2 linked regions of the Notamacropus eugenii genome follow. The protein of the gene in region 1 binds, or shares a complex with, the protein of each later gene. Links are inferred from orthologs where the notes say so. Each region holds a gene or a part of one and is shown on either strand. Other genes may lie near its edges.

What was found. The genes of interacting proteins can lie anywhere in the genome.
Region 2: the proteins of GSK3B (region 1) and FRAT1 are in contact, whole or in part, in a crystal structure (PDB 5OY4), measured with the Homo sapiens proteins. The link is inferred for Notamacropus eugenii from reciprocal best matches to the Homo sapiens genes GSK3B and FRAT1. Residues at the interface, in NP_001139628.1 of Homo sapiens: Tyr216, Ile228, Phe229, Ser261, Gly262, Val263, Asp264, Leu266, Val267, Ile270, Lys271, Thr275, Pro276, Ile281, Tyr288, Thr289, Glu290, Phe291, Lys292, Phe293, Pro294, Ile296; in NP_005470.2 of Homo sapiens: His200, Leu202, Leu203, Leu206, Val207, Ser209, Gly210, Asn211, Leu212, Ile213, Lys214, Glu215, Ala216, Val217, Arg219, Leu220, His221.

The regions. Positions count from the first base shown.
Region 1 is NC_092876.1:345,958,865-345,966,497, reverse strand, and holds the start of GSK3B (glycogen synthase kinase-3 beta), read right to left. Parts: upstream 3,425-7,633; 5' UTR 3,387-3,424; coding exon 3,299-3,386; intron 1-3,298. UniProt on the Homo sapiens protein: Constitutively active protein kinase that acts as a negative regulator in the hormonal control of glucose homeostasis, Wnt signaling and regulation of transcription factors and microtubules, by phosphorylating and inactivating glycogen synthase (GYS1 or GYS2), EIF2B, CTNNB1/beta-catenin, APC, AXIN1, DPYSL2/CRMP2, JUN, NFATC1/NFATC, MAPT/TAU and MACF1.
Region 2 is NC_092872.1:214,099,186-214,106,865, reverse strand, and holds FRAT1 (proto-oncogene FRAT1), read right to left. Parts: upstream 3,203-7,680; 5' UTR 3,059-3,202; coding exon 2,192-3,058; 3' UTR 427-2,191; downstream 1-426. UniProt on the Homo sapiens protein: Positively regulates the Wnt signaling pathway by stabilizing beta-catenin through the association with GSK-3. May play a role in tumor progression and collaborate with PIM1 and MYC in lymphomagenesis.

The sequences.
Region 1 (7,633 bases):
ATAAAATGGCTTAGAAATTTAGATGTCACTGCTAGTTAACAGCTACCTACTGAAACCTGGAGAAAAACTCAACCTGTCAGCTTCTTTCAGACAGCACTTCTTTCCCACTATCATAAATGTTATCACTTCTAAGTCTTTCATGCTCAGTTACTTTCACCGTCAAACATCTCTCTCTCATACACACACACACTCTCATGCAGGATCCTGACAGCTTGCCAGTTTCTTCATTTTGTTCTTTGCTTTCCATTTCTATAGCCACCATAACCAACTTCTCACTTCAGCTGACTTCAAGTAGCCCCCTAACTCTGTCTCACTCTACTCCAATCCATTCTAAAGATAAATGTCATATTTAGCTTCTTCAAACATCATGTTCCCCATTCTACATGTCAATTCAATAAAATCCACAGAAGCTACCTTTTACTTATCAAAAAAAAATAGAGATAAATTTGAATTTGTCAACTGCCTTCCCTGTGGCTTTCCTCCTTCATCTCTTTTTAGCCAATGTCTCTGATGCCTACTAAGTCACATACTAACTCCTTCCTTTGTGGTTTAATCACTCTAATTCTCCCAACTAGAATACATTCTTTCTTTCCATACAGCAATAATAACTGCAAACATTTCTATGTAATTTCATTTATACAAAGCTTTTTTTCCTTGAAACAACCCTATGAAGTAGTATCAGTACTATTACTCTTATTTTAGATATTAAGTAATTTGACAGTCAGCTACATATGGCTCACCCCAATCTACTACTCTGCCTCCATCAAATTCTGACTTGAAATTTACCTTCTTCAAGCAGTTTTCCCGGATTAACTCTTCCTTTGATCATTCTTTAATGTTAAGTCCCCTTGGCACCCAAGCATTCAATTTGATTATATCACCCACACCATTTTAATAGATGATTTTATGTTTGTTTCCCCAGAAAAATGGTCTCAAGTAGCCCTATTTGTGCAGGACTCTCCATAGCAAATACTGATTAAATGTTAAATTATCCTTATTTCCTCAAAAATATCCCTAAATTCAAAGTCAGAGGCATGATTATATTTGACATTAAATTTCCACTTATTATGGCAATCTATGCCCATAAAAGATGAGTTTACAGATTCAATTTAATATACTATATTATTTATTAAAATAATACTAATTTACCAGTCAAAATTTAAACACATCATTCAGCAATGCTGCTCTCATCAGATACGTCAAATATAGCCACTTTAAAAGCAAATAAATTCTTCCAACAAAAAAAGTTTGAAGACAGGTAAAATTGCTTTGCTTTCTTAGCTGTAACTAATGAATGTTAATGGGTCTCAAAGAACTATTACTCCAGATTTCTATTATGAAAAAGACACATTCCAATAACTCAGGAGAGATTCCTACACTATTTTAAGACTTGCTTCATCACAGCTGAAGATTACAGCAGAATTTTAAATATTCATCTCATCTCACCCTTAATGTACTTATGATGGTTTGCCCTTCCACAGAGTAATGCATAGTTTGCTTCTCTCCCCATCCCTAGAATTTTAGTTGGCTAAAGACCAAAAAAACAAAAGCCTGATTATACTTTCCAAAATAAAAAAACTGCCAGTCACTACCTTTAACTTCACTATTTAATATCAACATTGATGCAGGCATACATCAAATAGAAGTTCAAAGTCAAGATGGTCCAGTATAGCCCTGAACACTGATATCAGTGTAAGGGCTGAATACCATTTGGTAAAGATAAGTAATTTAACCAATTTTTCAGAAAAGTAACCTGTATTGAGATTTCTTTTCTTTCTAACCAGGAAGTCTTTGACTCAAGAACAAAAAAGAAATTCTATGGAACCTTACTTCATCTCTCTCTTGCTGCATCTCACTTCAGGAATAAAGAGATTACAATTGGTCAAACTCTAGAAGTGCATTTCAATAAGATAAAAAACATTTTAAACATTAAATATTATAAACACTGTTCCAAGCTCACACATTTTCAAAAAGCACAAATGAAGATGAACTGAAATTGTTGGACATATGGCAATAACAGTAATAAACTATTAATTTTTGGTGTAAAGAAATAGATTAAAAAAGACAGTTTGACAACAAATTGCGTACATTCTTAACGTATTCATCTCTACTCCAGAAGCTATGAAAGAAAGGACTTATTTACTCAGTTGTCTGATCTTTTCAAAGCTCCAGATGAATTGAAAAAAAAATTTCAGAGAAAAATACAGTTTCTGAAAATATGAGTTAATTCAGAGTAAACTGGTGCATCTGTCAATCCAAGAGTGACATCAACATTTGTAAATGTATAAAATAAAATTGCTAAAGCTTTTTTCAGGTACAAAAAGAAATCACAATACAGACATTTTAAATAGTCCTTTAAATTACACTTTAATTTAGGACTTTAATAAAGCCATTTACAACAGTACCCCTCCAAATGAATAAAAATGATAGTTTTAATTGGCAACAACTGAAGTGTAACTGTTAGCATGCTGAAATTGACATTAAAATTCTAAATCACAAAAGTCAAACTGAAACGTGAAACTTTTTAATTAAAACACAGATCTCAATAACTCCTCATTAAATTTCTAACGTCACAGCCAAAAGATATAGGATGACATATTAAAACCAATTAGTCAACTTACAACATATGCAGCACTGCTGCTGTATAGTGTGGTGCCACAAGCCCATTATTTTTAAGGCAGAAATGAATAACCTCCAAATTTAAAACCTCATCATGGCACAAGCTGACCCTTCCGAGTACCAGCTATTATTTTACATATCCAAAAAATAAATGTTAAATATTTGTCTTTATTAAAAGCATAAAACCAAGATAACCATACTTAGGTCTGAGCTTCCTAAACATCTCTTCTCATTCAAAAAAAGACATCCACGCTTCAACTTTTATATTGCCTTGTTTTAAGCAATATATCTTTTTCTGTTTTTCCTTACTTAAAAAGATGATTGATTACTTAGCTCTCTAATTTCCTATAGATTCTTTAAGCAGTTGCTTAGGAAGACCATTCGTAAATATATTCGAAGTCATGCTAGATAGGGGGGAAAAACAAACTTGCAAACTAAAACATCCAAATAAAAATCACATTCTGTCAATTCAAGGTTAATGAGACGATGGGGGGAAGGTATGGAAGCAGACAGGGAGGTGCTTCACCTTTGAATAGTGACTACTTTCACCTTTTTCCATTACACAGGCCGTTGAATTTTTTTGGTTTCTAATCTATATTTTTTTAATCCTGGCATTTCCAGGTCTTTATTTTAAAGGGAAGGGGTAAAGGGGTAAAAAAAAAAAAAAATCAATACTCACTGCTAACTTTCATGCTGCCAAAAGCTGAAGGCTGCTGCACTGGTTTGCAGCTCTCTGCAAAGGAGGTGGTTCTGGGCCGCCCTGACATGATCTCTCTTCTCCCGATCACCTTCTTCCTCCTTTTCTTCCTTTTGTTTTATTTTGGGGTGTAAGTTAATGACAAATGCAGCATTAAGCTCACACACACAAACCAAAAAAAAAAAAAATGTTTTCTTCTTCTTGGCTTTCACTTCTTTTACGTAGCTATATAAAACCAAACGATCGATTTGTATCCTCCTCCAAGACAGATGAGATATGGATTTTTGTATCTAGATGATTTGGGGCTGGGGAAAAAAACACAATTCTTCTCCCCCCTCACCTTCGGAGGGGGAAGGGAGAAAAACCTGAAAAATATCTGTTAAAATGGAGGGGGGAGGGAAGAGGAGGGGAGAAATTACTTGATTGGAATTTCAGTACTTTGAATATTATTTTTTTTCCTCCTCGGGGATCTTTTTTTTTTGAGTCAATGAAGAAGGGAAGCGGCGGAGGGATCACGAGTCTCTTGCTTGAAGAGAAAGGGGGATGGGAAGGGGGAAGGAAGGAGGGAGGCAGGGAGGGTGGCTCGGTGATGCGACTGGAAATGCTGCGGATCCGGCGGCGGGATCCGGCCGACGGGCGGAGGGAGCGCTCGGTCGGCGCGGCCGAGCGCGGCACGGCACGGCCCGGCCCGGAGAGCTCGAAGGCGGCGGATCTGGGGAGTCGGTCAGAGGCGGCGGGGGGCGGCGGCGGCAGCTCCTCTCCTCATTGCGCCAGGGGCAGCTGCAGGCGGTGGCTGGATCCAGCGGCCATGGCGGCGGCGGCAGCTCCCTTCAGACCCCAAGCAGCGGCTCCTGTGCTGCTCCCCATACGCCGGGGACATGGGAACCCGGCAACCGCTTCCGTCCCTTGAGGGCCCCCTCCCCCGGCCAAGGCACCGTCGCTGCCCTCCCGCCCCCTAGGTCCGCTCGCTGCCCACTCGGGAAATGTCCGCGCTTTGGCCCCAGCCCGGCGCCCTGACAGCGGCTTAGGGGGGCCCCCGGCTCCTCCTTGCTTCCTTCCTTCCTTCCTTCCTTTGTCACTCGGTCCGGGCAGCAGCGGCTCCTGCCCGCATTCACCAGGGTCGGGGGCTGCTCTGTATGAGAAGCACCTACTGCGCAGCCGCCTAGCTCCCCCTCCCCTCGCCTGCTCCTCCTCCTCCCCCCTCTCACCTCCGCCTCCTCCGCCTCCTCCGCCTTCCTCCTCCCTAGCCCAGCCCAGTCCAACACTACCCAGAGCCCCCACCGCCCGCGTAACAGGCGTCTGGGAATCGCCGGCCGAAGTCTGAGCCTCGCACACCGCCCTCCCGCTTCGGCCGAACGCCAACCTCAGCCAATCAGAGAGCGTCGTCTGTTCGCTGCTCCCTCCGGAAATAGCCGAGGGGCGGCAGGAGCCAATCGGAAGCGGCCGCTGAACAACCCTCCCTTCCCAACCCCCCACGCCCCGAGGCAACGGAAGGAGCCGAAGACTGCCGACGGAGGAAGAGGAGGAGAAGGAGGAGGAAGGAGTTGGAAAGCCAAGCTTCCTGGTTAGGTCACAGGCAATGGCTGAAATTCGTCAAAGGCAGAAAGGGCCAATCAAAGGCTTCCCAGTCGCCTGCTCTCGCTGAAAAGTGCGGAGAGGCCCAGCGTGGTTAAAAGCCCCAGGAAGGTGTGCGACCCTGCGCCTCGGCCGCTTTGTCATTGGTTGAAAAACTCCGCTGGGAGGTTGAACCACATCACTCAGTGATTGGCTGAGGGAAGGGGGCTTCCGAGGACATCCCAGCAAGCCCGAATCGTCCCATGTCTCACCGAGGCGGGGTGGGAAGGAGGGAGGGCAAAGACCTATAATGCTCTTTCTTATTGGACAACGGCCGCTGTGCGCTGGAGAGGGGAGAGGGGAAGGGGAGGGAGGCTGAACTCCTTGAGGTTGGCCAATCCGAACCTGCCTTGGGCCTATCGCAAGACTTTGGCTGAGTCTGATTGGTCCCCTGGCTTGGGCAGAGGGGAATGAGCTAGATTGTGGTCGTGGCGGAACCTCCCCTGGGTGGACGATCGGGGTTGGGTGAATTCTGCCTTGGCTGTTTGAAAGCCGCAGATATTGAGGGGTGGAGCAGACTCACGCATTCGCGACGTAATGGTTGGGACCAGTGGCGCATAGGTCTCAACAGCCTGGGGGCCCAGTTGCCTCTGGGCCTAAATCCTGGATCCCTGCCTGCGCAGGCGCGTGCGTGCGTGTGCGTGTGCGTGCGGGGGAGGGGGAGTGAGAAATTCATGTTCCGTACTTGTAACTCCGAAGGCCCAGAAGTTCTTCGTGCCTGGGCACGGGTGACCCCGCCCTCTCCTGCCGCACAGCTGGGGGCGGCGCTCGGCCTCGCAGCACCCTTACGGCCCGAGGAGCGTAACTCCTTGCCCTGCGCGGCGCGGGGAGCTGTCCTGGACGCTTCGGCCCTCCTCTGCCCCTTTAGTCTTAGGTTCTTGTGGGCGCTGTGCTCGGGCTCAGGGTCTCTGCCCCGGAAAACACCCGGGAGAAATGAGATCACCGCAGCTCGGTGCGCTCCCAGGGTGATCACAAATAGCTGCAGTTCCGTGAGTGGCTCCCAAACACGTGAAGGGGCCGGAGTCGTGCCGGATATCCTTGGGCCCTGGGTGCAGCCGGGATAATTATAGCTGTAGTTGGCTTGGGAGCTTCAGATCAAAGGGTAGTGTGTGAGGGCAGGTTATTTTTGATGGTTTGTTTCTTGCGTGTGGTATGTTGTGATTGTAAGAGGACCAAACCCCTCGCGCCGTAATGGGCACTTTCTCTCCCACTCCAAGCATCTTTTGGCCTGCTCCGACCGTCTGCTTGTTTGTGTGTTAAGCTGACTGGTACGCTGCTGTGTATGTATCGGTGTGGATGGAACTGTGCAGTTTTATACATGTCTGCGTATCTGTAAATTCAACAATTGGGTTCCCCCTAGAGGGCACCTGAAACCCCGGCGGAGAGACCATTGTCTGTGTTACAGGCAGCTGCTCAGATTCCTAGTATTATAACTCAGGTTGTATCATCCTGATATAAAAAGCAGTTCATACAAGAACTGAAGTGCCCCTGCCCTCGTAAGTGCGTATGGAAACGTGCACTTAGAGAGCGTGTGGTTTAATGGGTGTAAGTAGATGGAAAAGTCAGTGGGGAGTCTGGGATGGGTTGGGGAGAAGGAGTGACGGTAATGGGTAGAAGGGGGCTTTTACCTGAGCTGGATGCTTGGCTCACGTATCTCTGAGAGGCTCTTCGGGACTGAGGATTTGTGAGGACGGAGAAACTCTAGGCATGTGAAGGACACACCTCCTGAAACCCAAAAGTGTAACTTCCACAAATGATAGGCTTCAAAGCTCAAAGGGGCCTTTAGGGGAAAGAACGTCAAGCGCCCTCTCCATTCTGCCCCCTACCCCTTAACGTGTAAGAAAAGTCCAGTATACAGCAGGCTAAGAGCCTGGGATCCGAACAGAGGTTCTCAGATTGCAAATTCAGTTTTCTTCCTGAAACCTCGTGTTCTACTTTTCTGTGTAAATTTAACACATTTTGTTAGAAATTAAATACAGATTATCTCCATAATAGATGTTTGAATGTTACCTGAACTTGAATTTGTAACATATTTCCGAGGAGTCTGGTAACCCAAATTTCTCTTCTCCTGATGTACTCCCTCAAAAAAAGAGTGTAGGCAAAGTTGTATGTAATAGTTACAAGGGCTTAATCTGTCTTCAGAATTTCTGATAGAAGAATTTACACAAATAAAACTGTGTTCCATGTTAAACAGCCAAACCTGTCGATTGAGGATTGAAGAAGCGCAGGATCAGCTATGCAGTTAATGAGCAGAATTGGAAGTGCTAAATAGTTGAACCTGAGATTCCAAAGTTATTCAGTGGTTGGTCTCAAATAGAGACACGGAATAGCGGGAGATGTTAGGCTGAGTTTCTAGGAAGGCCTTTCTGTTCCCCACTAAAAGTGGAGATTAGGAAGTGATGCTATTAAAAATGTAGAAAAGCCAAAGAGAGGATTGAGAACACTATAAAAATCTTAAATACGCTGTGCCTTACTTAATTCTCATGTGCGTATATAATCCAAGTCCCAAAGTTCATTGGTATGGGACTCTCTCCTCATTGTCAGAGATCAATGTCCTCCACCACCCCTAAATGCACATTGCATGAAGGGTATGTCAGAGTTGTCCAGAGTTTGAGAGAGGAGAGGGATAGTTCTCTCAAAGTATTATAGGGAAATAGCAATTGATAAGCAGGTGTGTTCTCTGGGGACATGGCACTCAAAGAT
Region 2 (7,680 bases), on another chromosome or scaffold:
ATATCTGTCCCAGGTTAATGGTTAGAATGAAAAGACATATTGGAGGATGTTAATAACCAGAAAGGTGGGGGGAGGGGGGGAGGAAAACCCTCACCACCTCTGCCTCTTGGGTGGGGGAACAAAACCTGTCTCCAAAAGTGTCAGATGTCTATTACCAGTGTACTTAAAGTGCATGGTTGAAGCGGATTTGAATGATATTTCAGTCTCTTATTACTGTGTGTTGTTTTAATAAATGGGGGTAGGGAGTTCCTAGGATTTGATCTTAATATTGAGCTAGCCCTAAAAGTAGTTACAGGATGCATTTATCCCATCCTTTTACAGAATGCTGAGGAACACAGGCTGTCACACATAATCCATGCTGACGTGTTTTCATCCCCATGGAAATCTGCTGGTTAGGCTGCCTTTGGCACAAAGGAAGACAGAAAATAAAAAAACCAACTTTATTTAACATAGATACTTCAGTAAAGTTAGAATCCTGTAAATCAGGACCACCACAATTTCAGACACTCCGCTGCGAAGTGTATGTGTGTGAGGATATGTACAGGCACACATCCACATACATCAACAGCCACATCTGGATGATGACCAAGCCATTGAAATTTCAAATAACAACAAAGATTGGAGCCACTGTAAAGGAAAATGTTTGCCGATCTTCTACATAGAGGGCAACATTTTCAGAATACTGAATTCACTCAAAAAAGTGAGGGATGAGATGGAGAGAGGAGAAAACAAATCCCCTTTCATTCAGAGATGTTGCAGGAGATACCACAAAAAGCCTCAGAGACAAACACATTTAAATGGGCCTCTTTCCCTTGATGCCGGGACCCCTACTCAGAACCTGCTAAAGTATAAACAAGAAAGGAAGAACATCCTGGAAAGAAAGGAAACCTTAGTGACCTGCAGTATTATGACAGGTACTAAGGCATCTTCCTCCCTGGTCAAAAAAGGCCCAAGAAGGGTCAACACACAAGCCTGTGGACATGTGCACATGTTTACACACACATGCACACAGTTTTCCCTCCCAACCAGTAGAACAAAGTGTATGTCCCCAGGAGACTCTTAACAGTTTCAAAACACAGGACTCCCTTGGAGAAGGTGCTGAATATACAGTTACTCCCTTGCCCAGAAAGACACAGCACCATGTGTGGAAAACCAGAATCCTGCAAGGACCAATTTTCGAAAGCCCCTCTAGACAGGCAGACTGTGGAGCCAAGAATTCTTCCTTCCCCAGGAACAAATCCTTCCCCTTCTCATTCCCTACCATGACCTGGTGGGAGTATTCCTCAGTTAAGCCTTAGAAACATCAGGCTGTTGCAATGTAAGGGTAGAAGTAGGAGGTTGGCAGGTAATCACTTTAAGCCACCCCACCCAAGCTTTACTCAAGTTCCTTCTTCTCACATTTAATGAAGTTGATTGTGTTCTAGCAGTAGGAACCCACAACTCAGAACTAAATCTAGTCTGGAAAATGCTATCAAGTTTTCAGTCAGGTGAAGTCACTGCATTTCTTCTCCCTGCTCTCAAATCCTTCTCTCCATTCCCACTCCACCCTCTCCCCTCCCCCCGCAAAAAACATGAGTCAAAGAAAACTACCAGTAGTGAAAACAAACTGGGTCAAGTCAAAGCAGGTAACTGGAATAATTCTCTGTTCTGAGTTCATGGTTAGCTCAGTAGGATAGAACATGTGCGAAGGAGGCCAAGATGGAAGGTGCAACTCCTATTAAAAGGCCAGTTAATATTGCACAGAGGAAAAAACAACAACTCTGTTCCAAAGGCACCCGTAGAGGTGGCCAGTTAAGGAATCCTGAAAAAGGTGTGCTGTTGGTCACATGGCAACCAGGCTAAGGTGCTGTGGATGGCTCAGTGCAAGTCAGCACCACTCATGACAAGTGAAAAAGAGGATCTTCTACTGACGCTCTTAGGTCAGTAGTGCAGTCTGTCAATACACAGGATCTATTCATCCTAATTAGATCAGGGGTTCTAATTCTCGGCCCAACCCCCCACAAACCACCCAAGTCCACAGCCTCTACATCACCCTTCCCCACTCCAGAACCTCGAAAAAAGTTCCCCCATCTTTCCCCTTTGCCTTCGAACCCCCGTTCCCCACTCCAAGTTCATTCATGTCAAGTCTCCAGGCCTTAGGCTTTCGGGTTCTTCCCCTGCCTTCTTCTTGCCCTTGAACGCGCTGGGCTCACTAGCTGCTGGGGACCAAGATGCCATCTGCACGTCTGGGCACCAGCTGGCTCCGGAGGCCCTCGGGGTTGGAGCAGGCTGGTCGCCGAGGACTACAGTGAGCTAGAGTCCCTTCTGCCTCAGCCTCCCGAACAGCCAGGGGCCACGGTGGAGCGGGGCCGGGCGCTGGGGGCAAGGGGGCCCTAGCCCCAGGGTGCTGCCTAGGGCGCCGGGAATGCAGTCGCCGCACGGCCTCCTTGATGAGGTTCCCCGAGAGGACAAGCTGCTGCAGAAGCTGGTGGGGGTCGTCGTCTCCCGCACGGAGGCCCGGCGGCCCTCGGGACCGGTGCTGGGGCTGCTGCTGCTGCAGGCGCCGGGAGGCGGCGGCGCCCCGAAGCCAGGCGCGTCGGCACGGGCCCGGCAGCGGCTGCGGGAAGCCCCGCTTGCAGACGTGCGGGCCACAGGCGCCGCTCCGGCCCGGGGCCCCCCCCGCCACGCAGGGGCCCGGCGGCGCCCGCGCCGGGGGCTGCGACGCGGCGCCCCCCTCGCTCGCCCAGCACAGGGCGGCGCGGGCCCCGCTGCCCGCGCACTGCGGCGGCCCCGGAGGCTGCGGGGGCGCCGGGGCCGGCCCCGGAGGCAGCAGCAGCTGCAGGACCGGCGGCCCCCGGGGGGCGGCCCGGCTCCCGTGCGCCGCGTCCAGCTGCAGCGCCTCTCCGATCTGGGCCACCAGCCGGTCCACGTCCCCCGAGCCCCCGACGGTCACCGACTGCCGCAGCACCAGGAAGCTCTCCTCCTCCTCCCCCTCCCCCGCGGCGTCCTCCTCCTCCTCCTCCTCTCCGGCCGCCGCCGCCTCGTCGTCCTCGTCCTCCTCCTCCCTCCGGCACGGCATGGCCTCGCTCCGCAGCCCGGGCTCCGCAGCTCCGCCGCCGCCGCTGGGGCCGCTCCTCGCTCCCCGCTCCCGGCCCGGCCCCGGGGACGGCTCCCGAAGACCAGGCGCCGCGCTCTCGCCCCGAGCCGGCCGCGTGCGGGGCCCCGAGCGCTGCAGCCGCCGCCGCCGCCGCCGCCGCTCCGGGAACTGGAGCTCAGCCGGTTCAGTTCGATTTGTAAACAATGGGTGACGCGGGGCGTTCGGGCGCTACCACTGCCGCGGGGCGGGGGGGCGCGGGGAGGGTCGAGCGGGGCGGCCCGGAGAGGCCCGGGAGGGCGCGCGGCGGGAGCTGGGCCGGGCGCCGATGCGGGGCCGTGCGTGTGCTGCGCCCGCCTGGCCCGGGGCGATGGAGCCCTCGCGGGCGCGAACCTGGGCAGCTCCAGCGCAGACCCAGACACGCGCCGCCACCTCGTGCCCACTCAGCTTGGACTCGCCCGGCTCCTTCCCTCGGCCTCTCGTGGGGGTCGCGGGCTCAGGGGTGGGATGGCTGCCTCTGGGTTTGGGGTTTTTGCGTAAAGTGGAGGAGGGGAAATTCGGGGTGTTGGGCGGAGGAAGGGACGAGGCGGGAGAAGGAGGCCGGCAGAGCCGAGGGAAGGAAAGGGGGCAGCGTGGGGCCGGTGGTCACTGTGCCACCTGCTGTCCCCACGCCCCGGGGGACCAGACGGCGGGCATCTGGAGGCGAGCTTGGCCCCGGCCAGAGCGAGGGCAGGGTTCCTGCGGGCCGAGGGGCGGCGAGCAGGAGCGGGGAGGCGTGCGGGGGGCGGGGAGTCGGGCCTCAGTTATTCCTGCGGCGGTCAGCCCGCCCCGGGCTCCAGACCCGCGTCTGTCTGCTGAGAGGCTCCCTTGGAGGTCGTCGCCACGATCGGGGTGTGGAGCGATGAGAATGTCTGGGAGTAACCTGAGGACCGCGGGACCAAAGATGAAGGAGGGTCGGGAGAGACTTTTAGGAGGCGGAGAAGGTCGTTTCCCAGCATTTCAGCCCCCCACTATGTGGAAGGGTAAACTAAGGTCCAGAGAGCCCAAGTGACCTGTCAGGGGCTGCACGCAGGCCCCCCAGCTTCAAATCCAATGATCTTTTGGGGGGAGGGGTAAGATTACAGTTGGGTTGGATTTAGGATTTGAATTTGGAAAGAGCATTGGTCTTGGAATCAGGAAGATTCATCATCTTCCTTCGTTTAAATCTGGCCTCATGGGCACTTACTAGCTGTGTGACCCTGGGCAAGTCACTTAACCTTGTTTCCTCAGTTTCTTCATCTGTAAAATAAGCTAAAGAAGGAAATGGTAAATCACTCCAGGACCTTTGCCAAGAAAACTCAGCTGTATCATGCAGTTAGGGATAAAAGATAACGTCCCTTTTCTCCCCTATCCTGGTTCAGGTCTTCATCACTTCTAGTCTCCACTAATATAATAAGCTCCTTAATTGACATCCTTGCTTCGGATCTTTCCCCTCCACATCATTCCTTTCTCCATACAACTGCTAAATTGATATTGCCAAAATATGGGTCTGACCATGAGGATCAAAAATAAAATACTCATCTTGAAACAATAATGAAAGTCAGGAAATATGATGTTAAAAGAATTAGAAAAAGAAAGTCAACCAGTCAAGTCAGAAGTTACAGAACCATAGCTCAAAAAAATTAAAATAGAAAAAACTAAAAAAGAACAGACAATGACATCAGCCATATGTAGTCTATATGACAGGAGAGTTATAAGCGTAGAGCGATAAATGATAGATGAGCCAGAGAGTTACACAGAACAAATAGCAAATCCAGGAGGTGAAATAATTATTGACAGTTATGGAAATGGTACTACTAAGAATGAATAAATACATGACAGCATATGACCTAATCATAGAAAAGGGAAAGACAATCAGAGACTTAGAAAACACAAAACTATTCAAGATATTCAGACTAATTAGAACCCCAAGGAAGTCACACGTGCTATAATACGTGCATTAAATAAGCAGCGAGGCAAAAGAAATACCATTCTACTTCAAGGTCCAGCAAGCACAGGAAAGAGTCTCATTGCACAAAAAATACTGAGCTAGTTGATAGTGTTGGATGCTACAATCCATCCAATGTTAACTTTCCTTTCAGTGACTACTACAACAAAAACATAATTTGGATAGAAGAAGTTGGTAACCTGGGACAAGAAGTAAACCAATTTAAAGCCATAATGGCAGGACAGAGCATAAGACTAGATCAGAAAGGAAAAGGTAGTAAATCAATTGAACTAGATCCAGTCATAATGACATCAAATGAAGATATTACTTGTGTCAGAATTGAATGTGAAATTAGACCTGAGCACTCAGAGCCAATAAAACACATATGTGTTGACAGAAAGCTAACCAAAACTCTGGATGGTAGGTTTTGTATAATTGATTCAAAGGAAATTGCAAATATATTCAAAACTCTTAAAGATGAGGGCTTCTATCCAACTATAAGGTCATACATAGATCACTGGAATGATGTGCCTATGTGAACAGAAACTGAGAGGAGTCAGAAGAAGATATAAAAACAGACAACAAAGCAGAAGACTCCACAGAAACTAGGCTCATCGGCTGGGAATTCTTGAACAGGCATTGGCAGAAAAGAGTCAAATCAGCCTCTAATTCCACTGCACAACATACTGAAAAATCAGATGCCAGCTCATCAACCAATATATCAAGTGATCAAGGTCAAGAACAAGGAGAAATTACCTTCTCAGGGGAGACAACCTTTCATCTGGGACCTTGATTACTAGTGGCTTACATCAGAAATGGAACAGGACAATATGTAAATGCCAAACATCAACTGACCAAGACAAGGTAAGTCAAAGAACTCATATCATGCTACTTGCCAAGAGCATCAACCATCAACTAATATGTAACTCTGACTTACAGGATATACCCTGCCAGGGTACAAATACGTTGAACCTGGAATACTCTTGACCAGGAACAACCAACCAATCCAAGTGTTCAAGCTACCAAGGAACATGATGAGCACTATCATCTTATGCAACAATTGGGCAATAACCCTTCCTTCTACTTCAGCAAAGCTGATGCTAAATTTATCTAGCAGACAGAACACACAAAAGACTGGGGAGGCTAGATTGCAAACAAGGCATTTAAATTGAAGAAGGCAATAGCACCAGAACTGGCACCACCAAACAAAAAGCAAAAAACCAACTAACTGTAAGTAAAAAAAGACCAATTCCAAAACATGTTTTCATAAACTTAGCCAAAAAAAGAAGAGTATTTAGTTGGTCAGCAAAAGAAAATATGAGTGACTCACAAGACTCATCAGAAGTGGACTCATCCATGTTAACAGAAGAACCAGGCAAAAGAACCATGGGAGGAGATGGGGGGATGGGTTGGGAGGTCCACAGGAAATTATAATAACACAACTGAATGGAAATTTGAAGGGGAATGGGTTACAAATAACATGCAGTGCATCTAGACATATCATCCTAAAAGAGGCAGAAAATCAAGAATACATACTACAGATCTCAAAACCTAAAACAGTTGCAGGACAAACTGCCTATGATGGTTGGATTGACTACCAACATGCACAAATACTAGCATGGTGGTTCCTGTTAGATACAAATGCATGGGGAGTATGGATGAGTCCAGCAGACTTTGCACACATGGCTTGGATATGCAAAACCATAGAATTAATTGACCTAAAACAAGAAATATTCAACACTAGCATAAAGACAGTCATAGAAATAACAACAACTCCACCACAAACTCAGTACACCAATGACCTCACAGCAACCATGCTAATTGCAGAGGATTCCAATAACATATTTACTTTGTCTTGTGAGGGAACATTACTGAGCACATTAGGTTACAAACCTTGGCAAACGAACCAGTTAGAACAATTTGGCTACTTCTTTAACAGATTTAATGACTTTTATAACGCAACTGCCACAACAGGCTTTACAGGAAAAATGGAGATTCCTCATTATGGAAACATGTTTCTCACATTTGAAAACAGCATACCAATAGAAATGGTAAGAACAGAAGATAGTTGGTATTCAGTACAGTAGAAATTCAAAGCAGATGCAGTCAGTCTAAGAAGAAACATTCAATATAACAGAAAACTAGGCAAGGCACTAAGAATAACACCTAACTTTAATGAAGACTCACAAGCAGAAGTAGTAGAAGCCAAAAAAAATCTGAAGAATAAGAGCAGGTAGACCAGACACACTGTTCTCAGAAGCTGGTACTTACATAACAATCTATGACTATGTACATGGCACAAAAGACCTAGGTGACTCAGTAAATGCATCAGAAAAATCAGTGAAAAATGGTTGATGGATGCAAGGACAAGCATCAGACACTAGAAATTCTTGGTGGCAAAGTAGAGTTGGTGGCACAGCATCAACTGGACCAAGTGGCAATAACCCTACTTTAAAAGCAGGAAATGTGGTAGGAAATCCACAGATAAATACATACAGTAACTTCACTGCAATTGATAGCACGGGACCAGTATACCCACATGGGTGCTATATTTGATAAAGAAGGACATGATAAAGGACCTAACATGAAAACAACTGCTCTTTTCATGTGTGAAAATAATCCTCCAGGACAAATATTTCTC